Linked DNA regions of Ovis aries. The protein of the gene in region 3 purifies or fractionates together with the protein of the main gene of each other region. This does not show direct contact. Links are inferred from orthologs where the notes say so. Each region holds a gene or a part of one and is shown on either strand. Other genes may lie near its edges.

Evidence for each region.
Region 1: the proteins of ESYT1 (region 3) and ATL3 purify together in Homo sapiens (affinity purification with mass spectrometry; 3 studies listed by BioGRID and IntAct, with this or other methods). This does not show direct contact. The link is inferred for Ovis aries from reciprocal best matches to the Homo sapiens genes ESYT1 and ATL3.
Region 2: the proteins of ESYT1 (region 3) and synaptojanin-2-binding protein purify together in Homo sapiens (affinity purification with mass spectrometry; 4 studies listed by BioGRID and IntAct, with this or other methods). This does not show direct contact. The link is inferred for Ovis aries from reciprocal best matches to the Homo sapiens genes ESYT1 and SYNJ2BP.

What each region holds. Positions count from the first base shown.
Region 1 is NC_056074.1:38,450,283-38,460,612, forward strand, and holds the end of ATL3 (atlastin-3), read right to left. Parts: intron 9,110-10,330; coding exon 8,982-9,109; intron 8,388-8,981; coding exon 8,331-8,387; intron 7,253-8,330; coding exon 7,181-7,252; intron 6,803-7,180; coding exon 6,371-6,802; intron 5,611-6,370; coding exon 5,524-5,610; 3' UTR 828-5,523; downstream 1-827. UniProt on the Homo sapiens protein: Atlastin-3 (ATL3) is a membrane-anchored GTPase that mediates the GTP-dependent fusion of endoplasmic reticulum (ER) membranes, maintaining the continuous ER network. It facilitates the formation of three-way junctions where ER tubules intersect.
Region 2 is NC_056064.1:26,352,343-26,362,163, forward strand, and holds synaptojanin-2-binding protein, read right to left. Parts: upstream 6,458-9,821; 5' UTR 6,363-6,457; coding exon 5,925-6,362; 3' UTR 5,297-5,924; downstream 1-5,296. UniProt on the Homo sapiens protein: Regulates endocytosis of activin type 2 receptor kinases through the Ral/RALBP1-dependent pathway and may be involved in suppression of activin-induced signal transduction.
Region 3 is NC_056056.1:163,407,742-163,418,632, forward strand, and holds the start of ESYT1 (extended synaptotagmin-1), read right to left. Parts: upstream 5,572-10,891; 5' UTR 5,513-5,571; coding exon 5,117-5,512; exon of another isoform or gene 3,522-5,116; coding exon 3,480-3,521; exon of another isoform or gene 3,309-3,479; coding exon 3,174-3,308; intron 3,067-3,173; coding exon 2,993-3,066; intron 2,876-2,992; coding exon 2,803-2,875; intron 2,648-2,802; coding exon 2,558-2,647; intron 2,352-2,557; coding exon 2,296-2,351; intron 1,701-2,295; coding exon 1,577-1,700; intron 1,490-1,576; coding exon 1,313-1,489; intron 1,194-1,312; coding exon 1,111-1,193; intron 827-1,110; coding exon 778-826; intron 649-777; coding exon 562-648; intron 459-561; coding exon 366-458; intron 138-365; coding exon 66-137; intron 1-65. UniProt on the Homo sapiens protein: Binds calcium (via the C2 domains) and translocates to sites of contact between the endoplasmic reticulum and the cell membrane in response to increased cytosolic calcium levels.

The DNA.
Region 1 (10,330 bases), on a different chromosome or scaffold from region 3:
TAGACATCCAATTACAAGCAAATGCTTCCTCATTTAAAAAATTCTTTTATTAAACTAATCAGCATTGGACTTATCTTTGGCAAACTGTTTATAGTAATCAAAGGCAAAGTGTCTATCAATGCACCAGAGAAGTCATAGTTTACTTGACTTCTCACTCACCCATGACCACTTTCCCCACCCTGCTCCTTTCTTCCCCCCCAGCTTACAATGATGGAGGGTCAACACTCCCCATACTCTCCATATTACATTAACTTGTGAGTTTGCCCCTTTCCTACTAAACTGTGAACTCAGTGCAACACCCAGCCTGGTACGATCAGGGATGGCAGGCTACTGACCCCACCCAGTGTATGTTTCCAACTAGGAAAAAAATCTTTTTATTGTAGGGCTGAATGAGCTTTGTAAAGTGATCAGTCAATATTTGAGTTCAAACAACTTCTTCACTGCCTCCAAGGTTGCCAGTGAAAAGGGAAAGCTTTCAGTAGAGCTGTATTTACCTCACCCCACTCCCAGAGATGAACCATTTAACCAGTTGGCTCCAGATCGGGCAACTAAATGAAAGTGCTCCAAATTCAAAGGTCCTCACAAGTCCATGTAACTATAAAATTTGTGCTCCGTTTTACACAATACTGTCAACAGCACAGCTTTCTCTGGCATTATGCTAGAGATTAAAATACTAGTGCGGTATTATTTTGCAGGACAGAGAAAGCTAACTCACTGCCACCTTTGACACCAGTTTTTCATTCCCGTAGAAACCCTATTCACTTTACCAAGCCCAAGTCTACTTAACACATCTTCCCATATTAAAGAGAAAGGAAAAACACAAGTAACACGGTGCTGTGATCTTTATTTCATTAAATGACCTTAAAACTAAGAAACAGAAACATGCTTTTGATATACTAATAGCATAATCTAATCCATTGCACTTTTTAAAAAGTATATTAAATTTTAAAGCCATTCAAAAAGTCTAGGAGGAAGAAAGTGCTTTTAACAAATCATTTTCTTAAAGAAAAGAGAAATCAGACAAGAAATTTTGTATATGCTCAAAATTAGTATTAACTCCTTTAAGGCTTAAGTCCATGACAGCATTTATGTAACTGGAACATTTTGGGAATCAGATGCATCTTCCCCTGGTCATAAGAACACTATATTTATAATTTTAGTTCTGGCATGTGAGACTGCTTTCCCAAGAAGAAACATTTCTTCTAACATCTTTCTGCCCTTAATTTTGAAGGCCCCTCGTAAGGGGTACTCTGTCACCAATTTTCAAAATGATGATCCTCTCTGTCCTTTTTGCTCATTTTTACTTATGGCTTACGGTTTTCTGTGCATGAAAAGATTCAGAGGTTCAAGTCACAGTGCTAAATTTTTGCTTTTTCAAAGAAAAACAACTTTCAAACTATTTTTTTTAATCCTAAGTACACCTGTTGGTAAATAGGATACTTGTCCATTCATTTTCCAGAGAAGGCACTAGGTCTTTCTAATTTAAAGAAACATTTTCATAGAGCTTGGGTAATCCTCTGGACCAAACGCATCCTTATTACTCCTAACACTAAACTCTCAGTGATTTTATCTGGCAGGAGACCACCTATTCTGAATCTCAGGCAAAAGGTGTCCACTTGCCTCCAGGCAGCACTGAATTGCACTTTCCCTCAGAGCAGTCTCTCCCACTGTGCTCTCTGAACCACCTGTGATGCTGTTTTTAAAAGTGGTGATTCCAGGGCCACAACCCAGACCCAGATCCACTGAGACAATCCCTGGGTACAAAGCTAGCAATCTGAATGCCTCCCAGGGTTGTTTCATGCAGGTCAAGATAGAAGAGAGCCACCATTCAAAACACAGCTACAATATGACTTCACAGAAGGAAAACTATTCAACTGCAAACAGTCTCTTACAAATGGGCTTCGGAATGTCATTTTACACAAATAGTTGGTATGTTAGTAACTGAAGCTTTTCTTCACCATGCTCCTATTCCTTGACTAAAATTTTGATGGATCTAAACATTAAGCCAACTGATGCAACCTGTGTTGGCTACCTTAGATGGCAGCCATTCTAAATAATCCTAAATTACATTTCAATAGTTCATGGGGGAAAAAAATAGCTCTATTAAGATATCCATACAAGTTACATTTTTTTGTTTAAAAAACCAGGGAAAAATAAAACTATTTGTTTTTTAATCACTTCTGCCTGGACTTAAATCAACCACGTAATTTTTCTGTCATACTTATTCAAGACACCATTTTCATAAGCCAGGTGGAATGCTGGGGATGGCCTGTTAAATGCACTGCCAGCACAAGGCAGTTTGTCTGTTTGATCACCTAAAGCATTTTACTTCATGAAAGAGCAAAAAAGGAAAGACCAGGTAAAACAAAGACAATACTCATGAGCAACTCCACCAAGTGTGAAACCACAGAGACCTCCATGCGACAGCTTTCTTGGGATACTGCTAAAATAAGGTATGACTCTGAGGCTGATTCATCATCTTACATGATCGTTTTCCCTCATTCTGTCTACACATCAATTTAGAAAGAGTCCTCAGCAAAAGAACTGAAATTTTGATTCTATTATTTTTACTTAGAAGCTAACTGGAAGTATTAAAAACAACAACTTAACATTTAACCTCTCCTAAGTGGTCATGTATGGATGTGAGAGTTGGACTGTGACGAAAGCTGAGCGCTGAAGAATTGATGCTTTTGAACTGTGGTGTTGGAGAAGACTCTTGAGGGTCCCTTGGACTGCAAGGAGATCCAACCAGTCCATTCTGAAGGAGATCAGCCCTGGGATTTCTTTGGAAGGAATGATGCTAAAGCTGAAGCTCCAGTACTTTGGCCACCTCATGCGAAGGGTTGACTCATTGGAAAAGACTGATGCTGGGAGGGACTGGGGGCAGGAGGAGAAGGGGACGACAGAGGATGAGATGGCTGGATGGCATCACTGACTCGACAGACAAGGGTCTGAGTGAACTCCGGGAGTTGGTGATAGACAGGGAGGCCTGGCGTGCTGCAATTCATGGGGTCACAAAGAGTCGGACACGACTGAGTGACTGAACTGAACTGAACTGATAATGAATTCTTTTCATAGAAAATTCTGAAAACCTTTTATATGTTAGTAGGAATGTGCCAACTAAAAATGCTTGCATGGAAAGGCAAAAGTGGCAGAGAAACAAACACCAGGAAAACCTCATGGTCCTAAGTAATGTCCCTGACCCACAAAGCAACAGCTGAGGGGAGGTAAGAGGAAAAAGGCATTCTTTGCAACCTGGTCATAAACCTCCCCGGGACTACTTACAGCCAGCAATGAGAATGCACCTTTTACTGGAAAAGTTGATATAGTCATCAATTCTCTTAAAAAAAAAAAAAAAAAATAGAGAGGCCAAAGGAAAACTCATAAAAATCCCCACTGAGAAAACTATAAACAATTTCCAGAGGCAGAATAAGTAAGACCAAAAAAAAAAAAGGCTTCCCCAGGGTAATTAAACAAAGTTATTCCTTTATGATCAGAACAGAAATTTGGTGAATTTAAACAGTAACTAAATTCTAAGGTTTCATTAAATCATACATGATTGCTTGTTTTTTTATTTTTAAAAAATCTAGTATTTTAGTATTGAAACAAGTTTTAAACAGCATCCTTTTCTCATCATTAGAAGTAGGATAATTCTAGACAACTCTTCTGAAACCTATAAACATGCTTATACAGTGCATTAAAAGCTAAGTATGTCAACATCTGTAAGGCCTTTAGCAAATAAGTATCAATCTTCAGGAATATGACAGGCCACCTGAAAATGCACCAAAATTTCAAAACTAAGGTTTTAATTTAATAAAGCTAAGTATTATTGATATGCAAGTAAACAGTTTTTAGAACTAGTTGGAATTTTTCTAAAATTTAACCATGACTGAAAAAAATAGCAAGAACTTCAGGGCCAGATGGTATGTAAATATGAAAAATACATTAAACACTTAGAATTAATTCAAAACTTATAAAAATACTTGAGTGGTAAAGTGTTAAAATAGTCAAGAAAAATACTCTTTGATAAAGATATGACAGACTAGAAAAGACTTTTTTCCACCATCCATTCATATTTCACGAATATAGAACTTACACTCGGAATGTGCCTAAAACTCCCTACCTCCCTCCCACAACAAAAAAAATTATCTTAAGAATTAAGGCTCATATACCTGAATGCTTATATAAATACTTGCAGGCAAGTTGTATGAAGCTTTAGAATCCACAACAATTCACCATGATAAACAAAGGAAAAGGCAACTGATAGACAAAAATTTTTATCACACAATCAAGGTAAATAAAGAATTTTTATATTTTCTAGGTATTATATATGCATACTTGGGTGGGACTTAGTCCTTACTAAGCCAAAGATATTTTAAAGCTACCAGACTAGTCACGTATAAAGTTACATAAAAGATGATTCACTAAATAAAACTGACAGTTTTAGCTTCATTATTAAAAATATCAGACCGTGAGCAGGAGACTACAAATAAACACTGTGGATAAAGACCTGATGTACTGCTAAGCCACATAAAATAGGACATCAATTAAAGGCAGCATGTTTGGTAAAAATCCTTCCTCTAGCCCTCGATAAAGTTCTGTTCTCATGAATGACAACTGTGTGTGAGTTATGTACAATACACATATATGTTATAGACCTACAATCAGTGAGTCTGACCAAGGCACAAGTTCAGATGACTTATCAGAGGTCACATGGTTCATTTAAACTCAAGTTTTTTCCTTAAAGTATTAAACTCATTCCTTTTATTATGAGCAGCTCTGGTTTTTCAAGGCATGTTTGCCTCTTTTCTGGAAAGAAGCTATAGGAATGAATGAACAAAAAAACAAACAAACAAAAAAAAACAGAATATGTTCTAACAAAACTGCCAGCCTGCCAGGAAACAGACCTTAAATTTCAGTGTACGGTAGATTTAAATACAATTTTTCCATATTATGTGGCAAACACAATTCTCTAATATCATAAGATTTAAAAACTGTAATAGCATCATTTTTAGTCAGTCTTTAGTTTTGAAGCTTTTGCCAAGTTTTGTAAACTTTTTAAAAAGGAATCCTTCTCAAAAGAGTATGGTACAAACAAACTGACAGTTCATCTCAAAATAGCATCTTTCACGTGCGTGTCCTCAATTTCCTCCCGATTAAGTCCTCGAAAGCATGGGTTCAATCTTAAAAGGCACTAAGCGGCACATAAAGGACTTAAAATTGCATTTCCATTGTTCTTTTAGCTTTCTCCCCCATAAAGTGCACAAAGCAGAGAGTAATAGGAAAACAGACACAAGCTTGGATCTACACCAGCGAGGAAAAGAAATGCTTCCAAGAGAAATGGAAGTGTGTTTAAGAATCTGAAACCACAGGAGAGGTCTGTTCATTTATTAGTTCCGTGTTTTGGCTCTTCCCAGATGGTCCCGGGTCTGCGTTCCTGGAGACCTGGGCCTGTGGCCGTGGCAGAAGCCCAGAAATCAGAGGGAGCTAGAAGGGTTCTCGTCCGATCCTCTCATCAGGATGCTACTGAGCTTTTTTATCCGAGGGTGGTCTCCCAGCAGCTGCATCCCTTGCAGCAGCCTGAGTGGAATTACCGATGTGAGAGGTGGCCTGCAAGAGTCCATTTATTCAACACGTCAGTTAATAAAATTACAGCTCAGTGTCAAAAGAGCAAGCCATTACAGACAAACTTTCAAAAATCTCTGTCTACACTGAGACAGAAAGTTAGGGAATGAAAATGCAGGAGTCAGGGAGCCTGTGGCAGCTGCTGATGCCCCAGAAAGTAGGTCAGCTGAACCTTTAGTGGGTGGGCAGCGCGCCAGCCTTCACCACAAGCCTCTAACTTAACTCATCTGTTCCTGCTACTCAGAAAAACAAAGCAGAGTCTCAAATCTGTAAACCTGGAGATCATGCCACTGTCAAGGGCCACAGGTCTGATGAAGCGATTTAAGTGAAAGAGATGCCATCCGCTGGCAGATCTCAAAACAGAACATTTCGCTAAATTCATATTTTTCAAAGCTCATGACTTTCAGTGAAGCAAACTAACCTTGGATGTAGGAGATACTCACACAGGAATTATGTCTGATGAACACGTATTTAAAAGTTTCCCGTGAAGAACACAATGTATATTAACTTGGAAAGTTTTTTGCATTAATGAGCAGGTTTTAAGCATGGAAACAAAATATTAGGAATAAACATTAACATCCTAAAGAACAGTAATAAAATACAAGGCCTATCAAAAAAAAAAAAAAAGGCATATTTCTCATGCCTTCTATCACTATTGAACTCTTCCAAATGGAGATATTTTACAATAGAAGCATGGATACGTATCTGTTATCAACTGTCAGCCTCCTGGGCTGGCACCACTTACCTGCTCTAATACATACGCTGCACCAGAATCAATAGCACCGCCCAGCTCACGATACTGACCAGAGTACCTGATGTACCCCCAGGTGAGAAGCGCTATTAACAGCAGTCCAACCATACAGTTGAACAGCTGGGCCACCACCTCAAGACCAATGAAGCCAGTGAGGCCGGAGGCGATGTACAGAGCCACGATGCCCGTGAAGAGCACTGCGGGGGTCCGGAAGGTGCTGAAGACGTTCTTGCTACTGTTGTGCTTGCAGAAGTTCTCATAGAGTTCCTTGATCTCCTCCTCCAGCTCCTGCTGGTAACGAAGGCTGAAATCCTTCCCACCCATCTTTTTCGTCTTCTTAAAATGGTCCAGAGCAAGCTGTTTGAATTCGCAGTGCTTCTCCTCTAGAATGTCTGGAGACAGATAAGGCTTGTCTCCCCCACAAACCTGACAAGAATAAAGACAGAACGCGGTCAAGAATCCTTCAGAAACAAGTGCCAAATAAAACAAGTGAAAACGCTGAAAAGCTTAGAAAAGTTTAAGATACTAGAAACGAACTTTACAACGATGACTAAGATCAATAAAAGTCTGCGTTCAATTCTTCTGAAAAGCACACTTACTAACCAGGGTGATATTGATCAGCGAGAGCAGTGACACTGTAAGAAAGTCTTGCTTAGAAAGGGTCGTAATTAAAAGGCCCCAATAACCAGGATAACCTGAATGTTGCCTCATCATCATAAGATAAGCAGGATCAAGCTTGGACTTCTGAAGTTAAAAATATTGCCCAGGTTAGATATTTCAGAATAAGACTTATGCCCAACGTACCTCTTCCATGTTGTTGTAATAAACATCTTTGGCAGAGGCTGCAGCTGCTAAATTGTTGGCTTCAGCAGTGGCCTTTTAAGAAAGGAAACCACAAATTACAAATTCTGTCTCTTTTCATATTCTTCCACAAACAACCAAACAGACGTTTTGTTTCACTCTCTTCCCCATTCTTCCTTCTTTATGATTTTTCTGTTATTTTTCAGGTTTCCACAAAGTCCAACTGATTAAATAAAATACACCTTTTCTGCCAGATTTTCTGCCAAAAAAAAATTCTCATACATAAGAATCTTTGTCATAAAACTAAACCTCTGAAAATATTTCCTTTGCTTCTATTTTGTATGTTAAGAAATAGATGTAACTCAGAAGAGAAAAAAATTATCTTTACAATACCAATCTCACACGCTAACTCCCTTTGTGAAAACGTTTGTCTACTAAAGAAATAAACATTTGGCAATAAACCACCTTATCTTCAGCACGTGTAAGTCAGAAATCGTATGTATTCACAAAATGACATCTTGAAAACATCAAAATGTTGATAATAAAACTTGCTGAAAACGAAAAACCTGATTAGTAAATAGATGAGTCAGGACACATTTTACGAAAATAGACAACAGGCAACAGGAGAACGATTCGTCTAACGGAATGGGGTATGTTTAACCTGCATACAGTACTTTTGGGGGGAAGCTGTTCTGTTCTAACTCCACCACCATGAATACAGACAAGAACATCTGAAGGCAGTCACACTGCTGAAAACATGCTAAACGTGAACAGACCTCAGCATAATGAAAAAGAGGGACCTTCCCTGGTGGCTCAGTGGTGAAGAGTCTGTCTGCCAATGCAGGGGACACAGGTTCGATCCCTGGTCCAGGAAGATTCTACACACCACAAAGCAACTAGGCCTGTGTGCTACAACCACTGAGCCCATGCTCTAGAGCCCGTGAGCCAGAACTACTGAACTAACTCGCATGCCCCAGAGCCCAGGCCCTGCAACAAGAGAAGGCACTGCACTAAGAAGCCCCGTCACTGCAACGAAGAGCGGGCCCCGCTCCAGAAAGCCCTCGCGCAGCAAGATCCAGCACAGCCAAAAATAAATAAAAGTTTTTTTAAAAAAGAAAAGGGGAAATACCAGGACTGTCAAAGAACTGCTTACCTGAAGCATGGATTTGGGGTGAGGCAGATCTTCTCCTTGGTAAATTTTAATATATGCCTTAGAATATAAACATAAAAACAATTATGAAAAACGCCATTCGTCATATTTAACTGCAGCTTACTTTTCAGAAACAGTGACCATACAGTTGCATTTTCCTAAAGACCTAGATCCACACCCAGGAATTAGCAAAAACACAGCACACCTTTGAGTGCATGTTAGCATTTTTTTAGTTAACTAAAAATGTTCTCAAAGCAGCACACGCCTACCAAGGCTGTGGCTCCCGCCAGACTCCCCATGCACGCTGGCCTCACCACTGCCTGCGGGCAGTGACCGTCCGCCGTGAGGTAGCCGTGTCACATCTAGGTGCCGTCTCGCACTCACAGCGACTTCCTAACCACCTCCTCTCCACACCATCTTCCGTGAGGAACAGTCTTCCTTTAGCCACAGTAACCACTCCTCTAAGAGAGTGCAGAGAACATCCATTTGGTGCCTAGACCAATACTGCCACCCAGTGGCCCACTCCTGGAAGGACAATGGAGTCTGAAAAGGCTTTGCCTTCCAACTTCCCCCAAGCTTTAAAATACCTAGTTCATAACCTATATCAGTTTCACCAAAAGTCAAATATTTTAATGATGAAAACCCCATATTTACCTTAAAATACTCCAGCAGTCCCCGACAGGTGACTTTTGAGCCATTGATCTCCTTTTCCATTAAGTTGGCTGGGTTTAATACATGCAGTATCAGTGTCTGTAACTGTTCTTTGAATTCACTGGCAATGTCTGTCCGCAGGACCAAGAAAAAGGAAACAATAAGCCAAACAGATTTATTCAGCCAAGGGGAGCATAAAGCGCAATCTTCGGTCCATCTGGTTGTTCTAACATCTCTAGCTGAAAGGGAGGGGCAAGGGTCCCAGACTGCGAGCCTGGCCCTTTCTGGCAATGACCAGGCTGCTGCGGGTCTCTGTTCTCACGTGCCTGTGCGGACTCCTTCCCTTCTGCAGTATTAACTCCTCTCTAGTCCATAAAGAATACGCAGAATATCGCTACCCTGGTTTTCACTCTGCGAGATTCACGTCTACTCCCTACACGTCCAAGAAATTTTACTTTTTATTTTACCGAACTTCTCTGGCAGTTCAGTGGTCAGGACTTCGCCTTCCAATCAGGAGGTGGGGGTTCAATCCCTGGTCGGGGAACTAAGATCCCACGTGCTTTGTGGCCAAAAAGCCGAAACATAAAACAGAAGTAGTGTTGTAACAAATTCAATAAAGACTTCAAAATGGTCCATATTAAAAAAAAAAAAAATCTTAAAAAAAAAAAAAGAATTTCATTAACACATCTTCAGGAAAATCCTTATCAACCCTTCAGGTTCTCCCAGGCCAGGCTTTTGCCACACCCTCACACTCCCCCTTAAATAAATCGCTATTTATCCATTTGCTTTACTTTTGTTCATTTTCTTAACGTTAAAGGAAGTAGAAGCACCTGAATCTCATGATATTTATTTTCTATTCTCTCCTCAGAGAGTTTCTCTGGGCCACCCCAAAGGGAAAAGACTACTATTTCAGCAAACATGACAGCTTCTTTCCAGCTTCTATACTATAGAGTTCCCACAGAAGGTTCGGGAAGCTATTAAACAGAGCTCTTTCCTCAAAGTGAGAACTAGCTGGGCCAAGTATGAAAATGCAAGGAATCTGATTTATATGATCCAGCATCTTTGTAATTCAAGTTACTGAATTCAACTAATTCAAACTATCAGCCAAAAATAAAGCAGACAGGAGCCCACATACAAGTAGGAACTCCTAACACTGCATAACCCAAGTTTACAAAATGGAGAGTCTTATGTATTCATTTAACAGATTTTCACCACCTTTTCGTGGCAGGCATTGTTGTACGAGTTGGGGATAGAGCACTGAATAAAACAAAAGTGGTTTACTAAATCTTTTCCAGCTACAAGGATCACCATAAAAATCTCCGCAGAAAAAAACTTCAGGTTATTTTATCTCT
Region 2 (9,821 bases), on a different chromosome or scaffold from region 3:
ATAGAATCTTAGCCACAGGACCACTAGGGAAGTCCCAACAATGTCTTACTTTAATTTTTTCAACTAATAAGCTTTTATGTTTGTTTTAAATCTGTGCCAGGTGGCTTACAGAATCTTAGTTCCCCAGGCCCTTGGCAGTAAAAACACCAAGTCCTCCCCACTGGACTGCAAGGGAATTCCCTAAAAACCTTTTACATTGAGCAATAACTTATACACAGAGATATGCACAGATCTGAGGTGTACAGTTCTATGAGTTTTGAGAAATATGTCCATCCATGTAATCACCACCGCTATCAGTACAGACATTTTCATTCATTCCCTTGTGCCCTTTCTGGTCAGTCCTCTCAGCCAAGCAACTGTTGCTCTGGTTTGCGTGCAGATCTTTTACAAACATAAGTTTTTCTCTTTCTTGGATAAATTTCTAGGACTGGAATTCCTGGGTCAGATAGGAAATACACGCTTTTAATTTTGTAAGAAACTGCCAAGTTCCCAAAGTGGTAGTCTTTTTTACACCTGACTTAAAAAAAAATTGAGCTCCACTTATTTTTAATATTAAGAGTGTTAGGAGTCAAAAAAAGAGTTTAGGAGTATGAATCACTGGATATAACGCACTTCATTTTTTTTTTAATGTTTATTTTTATTTATTTCTTTGGCTGTGCTGGGTCTTGGTTGCAGCAGGTAGTATCTTTCATTGTGGGCATGTGGGATCTAGTTCCTCAAACAGGGATCGAACTCTGGTTGCCTTCATTGGGAGCAGAGTCTTAGCTGCTTGACCACCAGAGAAGTCTCTAACCCATTTCGTTTTATAATTGCCTTTTGCCTCCTACTTGCTTGAGGAATTCCACTTCATTGGGCTATTAGGAACTGGGAGTTCTTAGCAGTTTTTCTCTGACTCAGTCATTTTTCTCCTGGACCTTCAACATCTGTGGAATCCCAGGGATGCGTCTACCGTCAGATCACCTTCTCTGAGGCCAAGCCCATGAGGTCGTAGAAACTTGCTGGGAAGGTGCTCCCAGTTCTTGGCAGATACTGAGACTTCTCTTCATGATTCGTTTTCTAGTCTCCTGTCCTGAAGTGAAAAGTTGATTGGAGATCCCCTTTAACAAGATGACTAGTATGGACTTTCTTTCCTGTGCTGGTAAGTCCCAAGGACTTGTTTATCCAAGATAGGACAGAGAGCAATGCCTGGGGAGAGTGAGTCCTTCATCCTGGGCTTCTGGGAGCCCCTGGATCCCCAAGGGTGCCCCATGGGGACAGCTTCACTCCCTCCTTCCTCTTCCTGTGTCTCTCCCTTTCTTTCCGCCCTCTTTTTTAGCCACATCGCTCGGCTAAAATTAAGATGTGGGATCTTAGACGAAACACGCACCCTCTTCATTGCAAGCGTGGAGTCTTAACCACTGGAACGCCAGGGAAATCCCCTAGTTTTCAACATCAAGATAATGTTTTATCTTCACTGTATTGCAGATTCTCATATATTGGAACAGATATTATTTTGTTCCACTGAAATGAATAGGCAGTTTTCAAAAAAAGAAAAAGAAAGAAGATACACATAGATGGCCAAACTATCTGCTGAAAAAAAAAAAATCTCAATTTTCTTCATCAAGACATGTAAATCGGACTTCCCTGGTGTCCCGTGGTTAAGAATCTGCCTGCCAATGCCGGGGCCATGCGTTCAATCCCTGGTCAGGGAACTAGATCCCACATGCTGTGGAGCAACCAAGCCTGTGTGCTGTAACTGCTGAGCCTTTGAGATTAGAGCCCGAGCTTGCTGCAACTAGAGAAAGCCCATGTGCAACAATGAAGATCCAGTGCAGCCAAAAGTAAGTAAATACATTTGTAAAAAGACATGTTAATCAAAACAATGAGACGGCAGTGTTCACCTCTTGGTTTGGCAAAAAGTCTTAAATTTGATAATGGGCTGCCTGGGGAGGGTATGGGGAAACAGGTATTCTTGTGATGTGTTGGAGTGAATGTAACTGTGTGCGTGCTTTTTGGAGAACAACATGGCAAAAGGCATCAATAGTTGTTGTTTTTTCTAACACATAAACTCTTTGCCCTGGCAATTTCACTGCTAGAAATTTACCCTATGGATCATTTGCAAAGGTCCAGCAAAGTTAAATGCATACATATAGTTGCATAGTATGTGATCACAAAACCCAAAATTGTTAGTTTCTTAAACGTCTGTCCACTGGGCAATGCGTTATCTATGATTTGCATGCATGCAGTGAGCACTGCAGCGATTAGGAGACTGGGGAAGACCCGTGTGTGATGATACGAACCAATCTCTACAATATGCTGAGGGATAAAAAGCTACCAAATAGTAAGCACATTCTGATGCTTCTTTGCATGCCTGCATGCTCAGTCCCTTCAGTTGTATCCGACTCTTTGCGACCCCATGGACTGTAGCCCACGAGGCTCCTCTATCCATGGGATTCTCCAGGCAAGAATACTGGGTTGCCATTTCCTTCTCCAGAGGATCTTCCTGACCAGGAATCGAACCTGGGTCTCCTGCATTGCAGGCAGATTCTTTACCCTCTGAGCCACCAGGGAAGGTTATATGTGTATATACGTACAGATACTCACACACACATATGTCAGACTTTGGTCTAAGATAATTTGATTTACAGGGAGCTGTTAACCTTTAGGAAGAGGAAAGTTTTTGATTTTCACTGTGTTTTTCTGGACTCTTCCATTTTTCTGGTGATGGCATGTATTGCTTTTTTATTGTCAGAGGCGTTTTCCCGGGCGTTGTGTAATGGGACATTTTTGTTTTCTTTGTATCACTTTATTTTTCTTACATCTTAAAATTTTTAAGCCAAGGAAAGGGAGCTGTGCTGGTAAGGTAATGTAGTACCTCATTCAATCAAAGGAATCACTGGGCAACCAGGCTGCAGGAGGAGACAAGCACAGCTGGGCCTCAGGAATTTTTGGAGCCAGGGGCTGGGCGGCTGGAGGCCTTTTCTTGTCTCTACTCGTCTTTGTGTATCAGCTGCATTCTCTCTCACTCCATGGAAAATGCAAGGAATGAATGGGGCTGTCTTGCACGTCTACATTTCACATCTTCTACAGCAGAGAGACTGACCCTGAGTTCCTGTTTAACAAAATTCTCAGGAAAAACTTTCTTTGGCCTGGCTTGGGTCAGGTATCCTCCCCTTGGCCCATCAACTCTGGCCAGGGTTGTGGGGGTCGGGAGGGACATCTTTAAGGAGCTGGAAGCTCCTCTGTAGTCAGGTGATTGGACAGGAGTACTTCTCAGTAGAAGGGAGGGTGCTGGGAAGATACACATTCATTTGTTCTTACTTATTCATCCAGTAAACACTTATGGAGCCTGTTATGTCCTGGGCTCTGGGCCATGTGCCGTGAACAAGGAACCCAGCAAGGTCTCAGCCATCTGAGGGTTTAGGTCCCAGAGCCGGAGACAGGCTAGAAATCAGTGTCTGCCACACCCCTGCCCTGTCCTGGCTCATCCAGACCTACTTTCCAGGTCCATCAAAAAAGAGGAGCCCCTCGGTTGCCAGTGGCGGGGCCTCAGCCTGGGGATGTTGCCCCCGTGGGGTGCTGATGGCTGCGGAGCAGAGCTGGCCGCCCGGACAGTGCAGCTGTTTCGAGTTGCCAGCCAAGAACCAAGAGCCGGGAGGTGAAGGGAGTGGCTTCCTGTTGAGCTGAGATCTTTGGCTCCAGCTTGGAAGTCAAGGCGTCTCCAGAAACATAACTGCCAGGCAGCCCACTGAGCTTCTGTGGAATTTTCAGTTGTCCTTTTTATGGACAAAATCAGCAACTTCCCTGGAGGTCCAGTGGTTAAGACTGCAGTTCCACTGCAGGGTCGGGGGTTCAATCTCTAGTCTGGGAACCAAGATTCCATGTGCCTCGTGGCGAAGCCAAAAAAAGTACAAAATCCAGACCTGGATCAGGTGTCTGACTCCAAATCGGCCTCTCCATCCCTGAGGCGATGTTCATCCAGAGCAAACACTGGAAGGATGCTGGCTCAGCTCTGGGCTGGCACTGGCGGGTGGGGGAGGGGCAGGGGGCGGGAGGGTGAGAGCCTCTCCTGGGGACTCCCTCAGGGGAGGATTTTCTGATGTGCTGACTCTGCAGGAGATGCCCCTGGGATTCACTGGTGTGAGCAAGATCTCCACCCGTAAGTTACCACCCCTCTGAGACTCTGCAGTAAAGCCCTCTCCTGGAGAACATGAGAGATGTCTGGGGCCAGTGACCCAGGCTTCAATCCCAGGTTTGGGATTACGATTCCTACTCACTGTCCCTTCACCCCAGGCTACTCTCCTACATGCAGGTTGTTGGTCCAAGTGTGGGTCTGCCCCTTTATGTGTCTTACATGACGTCTATGTGTGTGTGAGAGAGAGAGAGCTGTATTGTTTATACATGATGTAGTGATGGTACTTAAACTGAGGAGTTAGCCCATGGTTTGGAAAACGGACAGAAACCACACCCGGAGGAGGTTGAATGTAAGCCTGAGGACACTGGACTCCGAGGTGGAGAGCTTTTTCGAAGGGCCCTTGTCACCATCAGTCTTGGAAGTGAGACGTTTCAATCCTGGCTGGAAGGGTGTAATGCATCTTCAACTGTGGCTGTGAGAATGGACTCATGACAGGGTGTCCTGGTAACTAGATATCTAGGAGGTGGGCTGGGTTGGTAAGTGATGGATGGCACTGGTCGTGTGGCCATGCCCACCACCCTGGGTAAAGGGGGGCATCTTTGGCCCATTCCAGCACCTTTCTATGCCTGCACCCACAGCCTCATGGCATCAGGCAGCAAAGCCTGAATTGGCTGCCTCTGGAGAGAGGTCAAGGCTGATGTGGGGCCAAGACTAGGGGTGAGATGAGGTGGAAGACACGGGACAGCAGAGACCACACAGTAGGAAGAGGACGTACGAGATAGAAAAAGCAGGCGTGAGAGGAGCCCAGGGCAAAGGCAGCAGCGGTCAGTCCCTGGGCTGCCGTGGGTGCTGACAGTTTTCCGGGCTGTCCCAGTCTATGTGAAAACCTACAGGAGACCTCGCTCGTGAATCTGACTCTTGCAGTGCGAAGAAGCTAAGTGACACGGGACCCTACCCACAGCTTCTGCTTGTCACCTGTGAGGTGTCTTCCTCCTCCTTGGGGCCATGGCTTATTTTTTTTTTTTTTTTAAGATTCTTAATTAGTTGCTTTAGTTTTCGTTTTTTTAAATGACTCAGATTGCTATCCTCTTTTAAGCCTCACTCTATTACTCTTGCTACATACTGAATTCTTCTATTGAAGACTATCACTTAATCCTTATAGCAGAAACCTAGAAACCGGAGTTGCTTTCCACTTCTTTAATTCTCCATAAGGCATCACTATTATAATATCATACATGAATATGTACGTATATATATGTGTGTGTGCGTGTGTGTATATATATATATATGTTTGTTTTAAAAAGTAGAAATGTTCTTCTCAATCATCTTTGTTTGATACAAAGTAGGTGCCCAAGTAGGTATTAATAGTTAGAAATTAAATAAAAGGCCACAAAAACTTCCCAAGGAAGATCATTAAAGAGAAAAATCCTTTTTTCCTCTTATTACAGCTGGCCTTTGATGCATGCCAGGTAAGAAAAAAAGGAATACTGCAGGGTGATGGGAAGACTGGACCTTTCCCATTTTTTGGGTTGTAGCTGAACTTCTATTGGCGGTTCTAGTAAAATATATAACTCTTCGTTTGTTCTAGGCAAGTCCTTCTTTCGGGTTTCCTTCAGACACTGCCTTTACTCTCCCATGAGAAAATGAGGATTCAGAGATTTCAAATAGCAAGATTCTGGTTGGGTAGCAGTCTCTTGAAATCATGAGCTGGCTATGTAGAGGGAAAAGTTATGGAAGACTGGCAGGAGAGGGTGAGAGAAAAAGAGAAATGTATCTTCTTCTTTGGGAGCACAGGAAGAAAGCAAGTTTTTCAAAGTCGTTGCCGGTATCTCATGAAGGCCCAGGCTGCTACCATGGTGAGGGCAAACACTGGCACCAGCACCATAGTTATGGGAATACCACTTGGCTCCCCTTCGCCTTGAGGTCCTATGGGCCCATTCTGCACCTGTAACCTGTGCTGCACTCTCAGGGACACAGCATAGCCTGCATTACGGAAGGGGTCCACAGCATCCTGGTGCAGCAGGTTCTTTAGGTCTTGGCCGTTGACCGAGAGGATCTTATCACCCTCCTGGAGCCGCCCATCCAGGGCTGCAGCCCCGTTCTCTTTGATGCGGCTGACGAAGATGCCACTGTTGTCGGAGACATACTGCTGATCTGTCCCACCGACGATGTTGAAGCCCAGCCCTGACGGTCCTCTGGTGAGATTGATCTCTTCCTCGGTAATCAAGTAATCCACTCTTCCGTTCATATTTTAATCTCTGGCTTCCCGACCGGGGTCAGCGAGGATCGGTGCAGGTTGAAGGTGAGAAGCACTACCGGCAGCAGCCACAACACCGCACTTTCGGCCATGGCTTATTCATCTCTCTAACCAGAGCATCTGGCCCTGTGCAGGGAAACCTGTCGGTGCCTATTAATGTTTGAATAAATAGCTGCATTTATCACAACAGTCCTTGGCCCAGCCTTCGTCCAGAGGTTGTGGAATGAGCAGCAGTGCAGATTTTAGAGCCGGTACCCATATCAGCCATGTGCAAGGAGGTGAGCTGTGCCAATGAGATTCTTTCTGGGCGACTGAAGTCTAAAATGAGCAATGAAAAGGCATTACCAGGAGGAGCTGAGGTTTCAAGGGTGTGTGGGGAAATGGAAAAGCTGTGTGGACCCTCAATGTAAGGTTATGAAGGACCTTACAGGACGAGAAAGGAGACCCCAAAATGGTGAATGTGAAACGGTTCTGTGGCCTGTAAAACGAACACAGGTGTCCATGATCAATAAAGCTGACTGTAAGTCTCAGGCGTCGTTGCCAATCTACTTGTGTGACTATAAGAGGGAGAAGAACCTTTGTGTTCTTCTACAAGTTAATCACTAACGGGATGTTGCCTCTAAGCTTAAATTACCCATAATGGACCATCTCTGGGACACTTGTCACCCAGGTAATGAACACTAAGCTAAAATACCTTCGTTTAGCTCACGAGGAAGCATCTTCCTGACCAGGCCCATCTGTGAAAGACTGAAGGCAGGAGGAAATCCCTCCTGGAGTCTGGCCAGAACCAGGGCCTTACTCCCTCCTCTTTCAGTGTTAAAAGAAGCCTGGATTCTAACTCAAGGAAGATGGTTCATAAGGACACAAGTCTGCCATCTTCTCAGGCTGCCATTCCTTACCCCAACAACTTGTCACTTGATTTATTGACCTATTATATGGCAAAGCAGTATGAGCAGCCAGTCTTGCTGCTCATGGCCAGCCAGCTCTGGTTGGGGGATTTTGGGGGTAAGGCCCTAGCAGCTGCCCGGACCACTCGTCCTGAGGATCTTCCCCTTAAAATTCCCTGAAGCTTCTCTGGCTGTCCCAGCTCTTAGCGGGTGGAGCAAGGAATCAACATCTCATGCAGTAGGTAAGTCACTCCATGTAACAACTGGAGATCTTATTTCTTCTCCATTTAGGGCTTCTTTCCTTTAGAATAAGACAATTTGTATTTGAGTGGAGCGTGTGTGTGTGCTCAGTCGTGTCTGAGCGATGCCATGGACTGTAGAGCCCACTTTGTAGAGCCCACTATAGGCTCCTCTTGTCCATGGAATTTTTCAGGCAAGAATGCTGGAGTGGGTTGCCATTTCCTACTCCAGGGGATCTTCCCGACCCAGGGACCGAACACTCGTCTCTTGCATCTCCTGCATTGGCAGGCAGACTCTTTACCACTAGCGCCACCTGGGAAGCACATTTGAGTAGGGCACCATGTTGGAAAGAGGATAAGAGGACATAGTTGATGGACTTTTATGCAATTTGTGTGAATTGGTTTGTTTATTTGGATGCTGACATTTGTGTGTGCTGTTTGTCTGTCTTGTATTTATGTCTTGAAGAAAAATGGGGAATGGGGAGTTCCATGGTGATCTAGTGGTTAGGATTTGATACTTTCACTGCTGTGGCCCAGTTCAGTCCCTTGTTGAGGAGCTGAAATCCTGAAAGCCATGTAGTGTGGCCAAAAAAAAAAAAAAGGGAAATATTTCAACTATGCCTGAAGAAAGTCCTCAGAGGCGTATTTTGGATAAGTGGTCTGATTACAGCTATGAAACCATGACTAAGAAGTTGAAAATGTATGGCCCCAGTACCTGCTAGGATCTCCTCAAGGGGTTCATTATGTGGGGTTATCCTGGGACCCTGTGTACCATGTACTGCTGTCTTTGCTTTGTTAATTATATCACGTGTGGTCTCCCGTGTCATTGGTATCTGTTAAACCCCAAGACCAGACTTGAGGGTTTATTTAGGGTTTTTGGTTTACCCTTTAGGTTTTTGGTTTCATATTGTTTTGGTAGCATTTCTCCAGTTACAGCCAAATCAGTTTTATGATATTTGAAACTTCTACTGATGTCGAATGGAGGAAAGGAATAGAAAAAGTCTATTCTTGTCTAAAAGTGGGACATTCCCAGGGGCGAAGAGAAAGATTCCACTTGGTTCCTAAAAATCAACAAAAGCCCTGCCCCAGAATTCAGTATGGTTGGTTGATGCTAAGACAAAAAAGCATTCTTTGTATTGTTAAAGATGACGACTTGCTATATGGTTTTACAGCAGTTTTTGAATAGCTCCATAGCTATTCTGTGAAGAAGCAAGGAAAAATGATGGAATCCTCTTATGTTGTGTGGCTCAGTGGTAAAGAATTTGCCTGCCAATGCAGGAGACCTGGGTTCGATCCCTGGGTCGGGAAGATCCCCTGGGGAAGGGAAAGGCTACCCACTCCGTTCCTCTTATATGCAAGCTCTTGTGCTACTGCATTCAGGGTGGGAAAATGTCAGACAGTCGTTGTTGTTCAGTTACTAAGTCATGTCAGAAACCCAAGGGTGGGACTTCCCTGTGGTTCAGTGGCTAAGACTCTGTGCTCCCAATGCAGGGGCCTCAAGCTCCGATCCTTGGTCAGGATGCTAAATCCCACATGCTGCAACTAAGAGTTCAAATGCCCCAACTAAGACTCGGTGCAGCCAAATAAATATTTTTTTTAAAAAAGAAAGAAACCCAAGGGTAGGGTGAGGGAATGTTGCTCCAACCTTTGGTCCAGCTGGCTGTCCCAGCTGCTGCATTGTTATGCCACTATACACACCCCTTCCACCATCGCTTGCTCCTATTTGGCCCCAATTCTAATTCCTGAGTCTGGGGCTCAGAATGTGGTCAGACTGGCTCTTTTTCCTTATAGGGATCAATTGGAAAATCCTCTGTTAGTTCCTGAGGCACAGGGACCTGGTCTAGTATCAACAGCTAAGACTCAGCAGGGAACCCAATTTGGGCCAGACGCCACTCCCTGGCAGAGCAATTTGCTTTGCACGTTATCCCCCATTGACTGTGGGGAATTGTACTAAGGAAGAACCTTTTGTGTTCTGTTACGTTAATCACTAAAGAAACATTGCATGTAAGCTTAAATTATACATAATGGCCCTTCTCTGGGAACCCTGTCTCTTAGCTAATGAGCATTAAGCTGAAATACCTTTGTTTAGCTCACTGGAAAACATCCTGACCAGGCCCACAGGTAAGTGGCTGCAGGAAGGAAGACATTAACACATCCCTTATAGAGTGTGGCTGGAACCAGGACTTGGCCACGTCCCACCCCCCCAAAACCACTTAAATAGAAAAGAAACCTGACTTCTGATTTAGAGAAAATAGTTCATTGAGACACTAGTCCACCATCTTCTCCATCTGCTGGCTTTCCAAATAAAGTTGCCCAACAACTTG
Region 3 (10,891 bases):
GTCCCCCCTCCTCCTGTCCCCACACACAATCCCTCCAACAGTGGTATCCTTGTCCTGGCCCTCACCTTGCTCTCCTGGGTCACGTCCTGGATTGACAGCTGTACCATGGGGTTGGGCTCCTTATTCCCCTTCTTCAGCTGCGGGTGGGAGAATTCAGAAGTCATCATATTGGTTGTTTTTGTGTTTCAGTGAAGGAAGGTGGGCTCTCATCAGAGTCTTTCCCCTGAGGTGACTCCGATCCCTTCTGTGGAATCCTCATGTTTACATGTTGTTGCTACTGGAGCAGAGTGGGCAGGGGCAAGCGAGGGTGTGGGAGTGCCGACCCCACGGCTTCCTGGTCACCCGACCTCAGAAGCCACACTCACAGGAAGATCCTGGGCCCGATCCAGATAAACAACTAAGATGGCAGCCGATGGGGGCTCTGGGCGGGAAGAGACTCCACGGTTCCACTGTAGAATCTGGCGGCAGGGTGGTAGTGGTTAGACCTTCATCCACTCAGTCCCCCAAACTTCTAGTTACCTATTTCTCCCCTGCCAGCTTCCTGTTTTGCACCTTAGTTACCTGCTCCAGTTTTTCGGCATCTGGCAAAAGCGAAAGCCATTCTAGCCTTAAGTGAACTTGGCCTTGCCCACCTTGAAGAGGGAACCACTGGAGGGAGAGGTAGAAGAGAGTGAGGTAGAGATCAGATACCCACCCAGCTTCTTCCCCACCAATGCAGTAACCACTGTCTACACAATGGGAGACACTACCCACAATCATCTTCTTCTCTCAACTTACTTCATCCATTACTCCAGCCTGCAATACTTTCCCTACATCCAGCTTCATTCTGGGGGGAGGGGATGGTGGTGGTAATGATGGCAGTGAAAGGGAAAAAAGAAGAGAGTGTTATAATTAGCAGAATGTCATTCATTGGCCCACTTCTCACCCAGAAGGCAGATCTCAGACTCCCGTCTTACACTCAGGAGGTATTTAAGTATGTGTGCATGGTGGGGATGAAGGGTAGGAAGTTGGGAAAGAAAATGATTACTATTCCCCTGGCCTGGAAAAGGATTACCTCTGGGATGTCAGTGGCCCTGGGGATTTAGACCTCTAACATAGGCAGAGTCTCACCTGCCCAAAAAGTCATCTTTGTCTGGATCCTTGTCAAACACCTCCACCTCAATTTCCTGTCCTGGGACCTCATGCACCATCACCTGAGGAACACAGAGGGATAAGGGTCTGCAGGTGAGCAGCATCCAATCAGCATCTTCTCTCAACACCTCCTGGAACTTCCCCACCTGACCATGGTCCCCCCACCCCTTGGCTCTCCCACCTCATAAGTCTCTCCCCACTGGGGGTTGAGTTCCTCATTGATGACACGACTGCAGAATGCCTGGGTGCCCACTCGCACAAGTGCATAAGGGTCTGACTTGCCCTCAATCAGGCCCTTAACGTATTTATCCTTGGAGCTCAGCCCTCGTGCAGCCAGCAAGTGAATCCGAATTATGCCCTGAAGGGTAGGAGTCAGATTGTGAGAAATTAAAGACCCACCACAGGGTTCCTGAGTGAAGGCTCTATCTAGGGGGAGAGGCCGTACCCTGGGAAGAGGGGAACGCAACTGGGCCACATCTTGAAGGTCAGGCACAAGGGGCACCAATAATCGGTTAGGCAACACAAGGAAGGCAGCGATGGAATCCATGATCATGGTGTCAGAGAGGGAGCTGAATGGGGGAGTGGAAAAGGAGGTGAGCGTGAGGGTCCCTGTTTCCCCACCCCCAACTATGTTTCCCACCCCCAAGAGAGACCTACAGTTAGAGGGACGGTCTTTCTTGAGAATACCTTTTCACTACTCTTCTACCCTCATTTTCCACCTCCTGCTCAGTCCCTTCCTCGCTGCCATCCAGCTCTTCTTTCTCCCTTTGTCCCTGCTGAGGATCCCATAGCCCTCTTCATTCTCTACCAAAATGCAGTCTCCACAGGAGAAAAACCACAGTATGAAGCTTCTCAGGAGTATTTGTTTTAGCTCCCCAACTAGGGTCAAGGCTCCTGGACGAAACCAGCTGCATTTTTTTTTTTTTTAATACTTATTTGGCTGTACTGGGTCTTAGTTGTGGCACAAAGGATCTTTAGTTGTGGTATGTGGGATCTAGTTCCCTGACCAGGGATGGAAGCCAGGCCCCCTGTGTTGAGAGGTCGGAATCTTAGCCACTGGACCACCAGGGAGGTCTCCAGGCTGCATCTTTCACTGCTCTGTACCTCTTAAACTTTCAAATCAGGGTTGGAACACTTAGCAGGTGCTCTGTAAGTCCTTGATACCTGAGTCCCGGGATATCCAGCAGGTTGGTCATCCCGGTCCAGTTGATATCTAGGGTCTGGAAGCAAAGAGCAGGGGGATCAGGACACAACACATAGGGGCATGGTCATTCCCATACAACTATTGCCAGTTCCCTGCCAGTTCTCAGCCTGCGTGTCAGTTCCCTCCCCCATTCCCCACTGGGGAGATGAGGTGGCCATCCTCTACCTCCCAGTCCTCTCTGCTTCCCGCATTTCCCTACCGCTCCTGGATGTCTTCTCTTACCGGGCGTCGGATGAAGAACATTGACACAGCCCCCACGATAGGAAGGTCCCCCATGAGTGGTTCGAGAATAACCCGTAAGACGCCATGTAGCTGGGGAAGGAAGAAATGAATAAAGCCTTTCCTCAGAAAAGGTCTTTCCCCCCTCCCAGACCTCCCCACCCTTGGTTTTCCCAACCTCCCACTTTCCCCATCTACTGAAACTCTAGGCAAAGGCTTCTTGTGGAGGCCCCAGGTGTGTGCCCTACCTGCATGCCCTTGACTCCTGCTTTGCAGAAGTATTTCTTCACTTCCACATCAATCTGAACGTCACCTACATAGCTGGGTGTTGGGGAGAAAGAGAACAGAGGGTGAGTCCTAGGCTGAAGTGGGGTGAGGGGAGTAAAGTAGTCAGAATGACCAGGAAGGGGACCCGGGAAAAGTGGCAAGTGGCAGTACCTGATGTTCAAGTCCAGCAGGATCTGTTTTTTGCTCTGACCAGTGTGAACCTTGACTCCAAGGATGCGCAGTGGCTGTAGAGAGATGAATGCTTGAGAGGGGAGGGAAAGACCCCTTTAGCCCACCTGCCTCCCCCGTCCCGATCTCTTCCCTTCCATTCTTTCCCCTCCTATACAAGTACCTTTTCACCCAGTTCCACTCGTGTAAATGTAAATGTCTGCAGGTGGGGGTTAGATCCTCGAACAGCTGGGGCCACAGTTTCGGCGAGAAGCTTCTCCATATATTGGCCCAGGAAGGGCCAGACCTGGGCCACAATCTGGGAGGAAAGGGAGTTGGTCACAGAAGAGCCTTGCTTTCCCTCTAAAGGCAATTTCCGTTAGAATCCTCCCCATAGGGAGGCTAGAATTGAAGTGTGGCAGGGTCTGGCAAGACAGAAAAACCCTATTCCCCCTCATGAAAAACAAAAACCAGGACAATCAACCCTCACCTTATTGAGCCACTCAGCCTTTTCCACATCTGGGAAGCTGACCTGGAGGTGGAAAAAAATGGAGATAGTGATGAGGCCTATCCTTTGCTTGTGGTTTCCTGCTAAGATGCCCACCGGCTGCCCACTGAGAACACCTAAGTGTGACAGGGCCTCCTCACACCCGGGAGCCGGATGTCTTGAGGATTCAGTCCTCCACTGGGCTTGGGGGGCACTGAGGTCTCTTTAACAAAGGGAGCCAACAGAGTTGGCCACACAAAGTTGCTTCGCAGATAGCTCCAGGGTATGAAATGATGACAGCTGCTGAGGTGGAGAGGAGGAGGGAGGAGAAGAGCACATTCTTTCTGGAGGGGAAGGTCCTGACAAGAAAGAGTTTGAGGAGGAAATCCTGGGATCCTGGCTCCTTTTACCAGCCTTCCTTCTGCCCTTGGAACCACTGCTTCTACACCAAGAGGTGATGCAGGAAGCGGCTCCTGAGTTAGGGAGGGGCCAGAAGAGCTATTCGGGCCCAGGCTGGTGTCTTCTTTCTTTTTAATCAGTGTGACTCCTTTCATGGAAAGGAAGTGTACCTGTGCTTTATACTGGGGAAGGAGGAGGGGTAGTCGCTTTAGGACAAAGATTAATTTCTCTGATGAGGAGGAGAAACAGAAACAGTTGCTGCCTGGGCTCCAAGTCCTGTGGGACCATTGCTCCCCCTTTCTCCTCCCTAGTTCAGAGTCTGGGAAGCATGGCTATGTCTGCCAAGTGTCAACTTTAATTTCCCCCAGGCGGGCAGCTGTGCTGGGAGGAGCGGGAAGGGAGGGCCCGGGAGGGGCTGGGTAACGGCCTGGGCACCTGCAAGGCCTGAGAGAAGCCATCCGGGCCCCTCACCACAGCAGAGGGGGCGAAGAAAACGGGTCCTGGCTTCAACCCAGCAAGCGCAGCCCGCAGTCCGGAAAAGGGTGGGGCCGGTCAGGGGCCGTGGAGTGTCGGCAGCGGGCACTGCAGCAGTCGCATGCGCCCCCCCCTCCCGCCGCCGCCGCCAGCACCCCCGCCCTTCGTCCAGCAGCCGCCTCCGCTGCTCAATGGCCCAGCCACCCCAGGCTAAAAAGAAGAGGGTCGGAGGGTCTGTCCAGGTGCGGGGCCTCGACTGGTCAATGCTCCCAGGGCGGGTCTCAGGGTACTCGAGGATAAGAGCGGGAAAGGGGAGAAAAACCTTATGGCCTTAAATGGGTATTAAAAAAAAAAAAAAGTCTTGGGGAAGACAGGAAAGAGGAGGAAACCCTCTGAGCCGCCACCGGAACGGGGATGCCCAGGAGCACAGTGAATGGCACCAGAAACAAGGAGGGGCATTGGAATGGTAGGTTGGAGGAAGAACCACGCCTGAGACAGGCTTCCCAGATGTTATTACTGTTCTTGCCTAAGCGTGGAGGAAGAAGTCCTGATTTTGTGGAAGAATCGGGATCCGGCCGTGCGGAAGGGGGTGGATAGTCGCTCTCACGAGTGGCGCGTCCCAGCAAGCAGGCGGCTAGCTGGCCAAAGGGGTAAATCTGGGGCTCATCGTCCCAAGGTGGGGAGCTGACTTTAAGATAGGGAGAGCCCTCGAACTGAGGCGCTAAAGGGGGGCTATTCTGCACTGAGGATTGAAGGTGGTCGCTCACCCAGGCAGGTAGCTCTCGATGGCTCATGTAAAGAGTTTTCGCCGTAAGCCGTTCTTCATCGTCCAGCAGCTGCCGCGCGACTCGAAGGCTCCGTTCTTTCTCCTCGCGGACCCGGCGCCAGCCCAGATAGAGGGCGAGGCCGAAGAGCACAAAACCCACGCTGAGTCCCATTGCCCCGGCCAGGTACACCGGCACCAGCACCAGCAACCGCCGCCCGAACGAAGTCAGCACCGCCAAGGCCTCACCCGCCGCTCCTGGGCCAGCAGGTTGGTCCCCAGAACTCTGCTCTGGCTTTGCGTGAGCAGTGGGGGGCTGGTCAGGGGGGTCGGAGGGAGGGTAGGGCTGGTCCACCGGGCTGGGGCTGGGGCTGGAGCCGTCTCCAGGAGAGGGCTCCATGCTGCCACCTCAGGGAGGACCCGCCCAACCCAGAGATCAGATAGAGGTTGCTTAGTTTTGAGACTAGCTCCCCGGCTTACAAACCATAAACCCCAGAATGGGGGAGGGGATATCAAGCCACGCCCCTTCGTTCTGACTATTTGGGTTGGTCCGCACCGCATAAACGAAGGTGGAGTCAAAAGCTCGAAAAGCCCCCTTCCGCGAGGAGGGGGAAAGGGCTCGGGAGAAGCAGGACCTTCCTGATTGGACCTGAGTGTCAAGATGGGCGGCCCGGGATGGCGGGAAAAGGAGGTAAAGGCTAAAGACTACCATATGATTAGTTAAAAAGAGGAGGAGGCGTGGCTACCATTTAAAGCGGAGAGGCGGGACCAGGAGCTCCCCCACGTGGGATTGGCGTGCCTGTAGTATGACGTCATGCGGAGCCGCACCGCTAATTACTCGGTTTTAGAGGTAGATTGAGTAGCGAAGTTGAGGGGTTATGGAGGGTCGGGATTTCCTTCCACTCTGTTCAGACGATTTGGCAGAACTTGGTCTGGGATTCCTACGTGTTAATTTGTCTCGTTTCCCTTGTTTTCATTCTTTAAGCATATTCCTTATCCTTCCACTTTTTTTCTGGCTGTCCTTACAAAAGGAAAGGAAATTACCCTATTTGGAATGAAAGTGTTCAGTGACCTACCCTATCTTGTTCCCAGTCTTCTGCCTCGTCTATGTAATGACAGCCTCTGGAAAACAAAAAACTGGAAAGTCTGAAAAGTAGAGTTTAGATAATTCAGACTTCAGGCAAGGAGTTGGGGGGGAGGAGGTGGAAAGCAGGGTGAATAGGAAGTGAAGTTTTTTTATCTTTAGAAATCTCCAAGTATGTCCATTCTGCCTCCAAGAATTAGTCATCTCTATTTTAAAGAGATTAAAACTAAACTGGATCCAAAGGGAGATGGGGGCTCAGCTGTAGCAGAAGTGATTATATTTTCCAAGAATTTCTGACTTTGAGGAACCACTAGGACACTAAAATGGATAATCAAGAGTAATGAGACAATTCTGTTTCTCATTTGCCTGTGTTACAAGGAAGGTTTAGAATATAGTCAGATGTGGAATTCAGTGCTACACTGCACTGTGTAGGTTTAGGAATGAAAAAATTCAGGGTACACTGAATGAGGACTCTTGTTACCCGTTAACTGGACTTAAAGTGTTGTCTAGGGACTTAGAAACTGGGCTGATTGGAAGCCCAGGAGGAGCGGATTGGCCATGATTACTTTTTAATGCAATATATGTGGGGCTTGTGTTACTGTTTGATTTGCAGCTGTTAAAATTTTTATTTAGCTCTGCAGGGCATAGATTTCATCAGGCTATGTTTCATCAAAGCTGTTTAAAACTTATCCCTGCCCAGCCTTCCTCCCTTAAATTTTCTCACTTCCCTTTCTGTACTTCTCTGAAACAATAACTAAACTGCTTCTTTCAATTTGCAGAACTGTATAAAGAACAATTTTCTGTCTATGTTCTCCATATCCTGAGATGAACAGGTATAAAAGGAGTTCAAGGGGTTATTTCTGATTCCTTGGAGGAAGTAAGAATGATTGGTCTGCCCACCAGCTGATGAAACAGAACCACAGCAGGAAAATGGATGAACATCCTTAGAGGAAAACCTTTCTAATAAAACTAAAATTTGCCAAATACTGGAGTAGAGGGAAGGAGTCCCTTAGGCTGGGAGATGAAGAGGGTGACTTACGGAAGTTCCTTTCCAAACTTTTCCCATTTCTCATCCTATCCAGATCAGACCCTCCTACTGAAGACAGTGTGTGGAGAACAAAAGCTCATCCTCAGGAAGGTCTCTTCGCAACTGCCACCCAGCAACCACAGAATCAGCAGCTGCAATGCAGGCACCAGAACAAGTAAACAGGGTGGGTCCCCACCCATTGACAATTCTGCTGCCCAGGTGCCACCTGGTGGTGATAAGCAGTAAGTGGGTAACAGGAAAAGGACGGTCATTTGTTAGAGGAAGTGTCTAAGGGAGGAGAGCATTGAGACTTCCTGGTTTTGCATTCTGCCTTTATATGTAAATTACAACTGCCTCCCAGGGTTGGAAATGGTAACCTGGTCCCTGACTACTCTTCAAGATGGCAGTGGCAACAAAATTTGAGGAAACTTCCTCTGTATTCCTTACAAGTTACTGGAAGGTAGTGGTCCCATTGTTGGATGGCTCTATTATTAGCACTTATCTTATGCCAAGCTGGAGTCAGACTATCTGAAGAGATTCGTGGATCCATTCTTTACTAGTTGTGGAACCTTGGGTAGATAACCTTTAAGCCTTTCTCCTCTGGGAAACAAGTACAATAATAATGCCCATTGTGTCAATGAAATACTGCATGTAAAGTGACAAGCAAAGTGCCTAGGTTTATGTTAAGTACTCACGTTAGCTATTTTCTAGAACTCTCTGCTTGTGCAGCAAGACAGGAACTTTATTAGGTAGCCCTTCAAATATCTGAAGACATCTATGGGGTCTACCTACAGTCTTATCAATTTTTTTTTCCCAGATACCCCACTGGTTTGCCAATGGCCTTCTCTAAAAACTATTTAGAAGAACACACAATACTTTAGAACTGACTCCTGTCAGACAGACATGGTACAACTACTATGTTTACAACACACAACTATGGTTCTTTTATCCTATGGAGCTTCTAGAAAGGTGCTAGAACACAACAGGCTCGTAATATTAACTGCCTTATTATGAAGAATATTTTAATTTTTTTGCAGCCAGTGTGAAGTCCCATGTTGCTCTCATGTGAATTATTGCTAATATAGAGCTCTACATTTCTCAGGCAGGTTCAAGTAATTTTTAGGGGCAGAGTCAATCGAAATTGACACTTCAGATTAGTCAATCCAAGTTACTGACATTTCCAGAATTACTTAGTATTTTTTTGTTATGTTGGTGAGTAGGCTTTTCATATTTTTATACAATGAAAAAAATATAGCCCTTGGGTATATCTCTAACATGGATGTGCTCATCAACATTTACTAGGCACAAACGTTTGGTTTTGATTCCATCAAATTCTACTATTAACTGACCCATAATTATTCTTATCTGCAATGACTTAGGTGAGAAAGAGGAAAGCAGTTTCTGACATCTGGGAAATGGCCTGACACAGCTGGCCTTTGGAATTATTAGGGGGCTGACCCGGGTTCACAGGTACTGTTGGACAATCTCACAAAACACCAACATCAGACAAGGGTACTCAATGATTGTGATGAAGTGAGTCAAAAAAACAAAACAAAAACCAAGATCACAATTTTGTTTAAGGGCTAAATGAGGTCAGTGTGCAAACCTTAAATTGCAAACATCTCCCTCTCCCAGCTAACGAGTGACTACTGCTTCATTACTTATTGCAGTTTCAGCTTCACTTTAGTCTGTCCTTTTTCTAGATAAGATACCCAACCATACAATTTTCCCTGCTTCCCGAACAGCACCCAGTTTAGAGTGAAGCTCTATTTCCTTGAACCTTCTCCAAACTCAATGAAAGTCCAAGTCCTATAGGTCCTTTCTAACATCCTCTTGCAAGACACACTATAGTTCCACATGGTGTCCTCTCTCCATCATCACAGTGTTAAATCTATCCAACTTACTCAACTGTAGGTATATTCTTGGTGGTGTTTAGCTGGTGCACATTAAAAAATACATACATCATCTACAGTTTCCCAACTCTACCTCTTTAGAGATACTTGGAAAAAAAATAAAAAAGTTAGCTCATCAGTTTGGCTAGGACAAATTCATGTTGGTATCTATGATCACATTTGTCTAAATGCTCATAAACCATCTCTTTAATAATCCAGAATTATATCAGAAAATCAACATTAAGCTTATCAATGTGTGGCTTCTAGAATCCACAAACAGTATTTCAGTATTTGCCCATCTTCAGTCTTTTGCACCCCCTCCCTTTTTAAAAATGACTGGCCTTGACTTAGCCCACCATCTCCAATCCCAGGTGTATACTGAATGATCAAACAAACAAGAGTAAGAGGTAGCACGAGATATGATGGGGGAAGAATAAACCAGGATCACTTTCTCTACCCCCAAATCCACTGTCCCATTAGACTATTCCCCTGAGCTGTTTCCCCTACATCAGCCATGAGCTGAGGAGGAACTGAGGTTTGGCTACTGGGACCCTTGGCCTTATTGACTCTTAACTGGATTTAAAACCTCTGTGGTCCTATGTGGAAGCAGAGGGAAGTAAGGGATGAACCCCAAGGTTTGTGTCCCCAGAAGAACTCTCCTTTCCCCAGCACCTCTTAAGCCTTGAAGGCTTAAGGCACTGGGAACTGAGAAAAGGATGCAGTAGGAGGGACATTGCTGTCAACAACTCAGAGAGGAACTGCCACCTGCCCTGCTCTGTTTGAAGAAGGGAAGGATCTGTCAACACATATCCCATTCCCATTTCCCAGCACATCCACCCTCCTTAGTACCTGTCCCCCTAATTGACCCTGGGAGCCCTAGTTACTAAGGCAACCTGGGGATAGTACATGCAGATAGAAACCAGAATGGATGGGACTATTTTTAAACCAGACGAGGTGGCTCCAATGGTTTTACCCCACAAAGTACCTTCCCTGAAGCCCCATGTGATCTTGCTCTGGGCTCCTACCCTTCTTCACTGGCCTTCATCCATCCTCACCCAAGCTATGTGAGAATGAGGTCTTTATTCCATTTTGGCATGACATCTATTTACTGCTCCCATCTTCCACACAGAATATCTAAGCAAGTTTTTACTGCCTCCTTTGTCAAAAATAACTTCTTTTATTTCTTTGGAACGTGGTTGGCCCTGCCCTCTGGATGTCCAGGTCAAGCCAAGGTAATGAATGCTCCCCTAGTCTTTGGGCTGGAGTACTACGGTCCCCATCTTCCCACGGGCCCAGGAGCAGTTCCTGTATTGTCCAACTCAACTAGGCCCCAAACTATCTGAAGGCTCCTAACAGGCCTTCTCTCCTGGCCGCCCTCTTCCTATTCTTTCCTGGCTTCCCCTCTGGGCAGGGTATTTTTTTCTTCCAAAGCCAGTGCTGGAACCTGTGCTGTGCAGAAAAGAGGACAAGACCAAGGATGTCCCCCAAATTCCCATCAGAGGACACACGCCCCTCAGTCAGTCCTTCGTCTGTGGCCTTCAGTCTGCACTCCTACGCAAGCTCGAGAGGCCTGAAGGAAGATGGACGAGAGGAGCCTCATAAAAGGCAGGTGGGAGGAAACACACCAACCCAACCCCTTCTCAGAAGCAAACTCCTCGCAGTCTCTCATCCTAGTTCATGAGTGAGCCCTTCAGACAGGGCCCTGGAGGACTAGGCGAGTGGGTGAAGGCCCCTCAACTCCAGCCCTGGGAGACTATACCAGGGGAGTGTCCATTA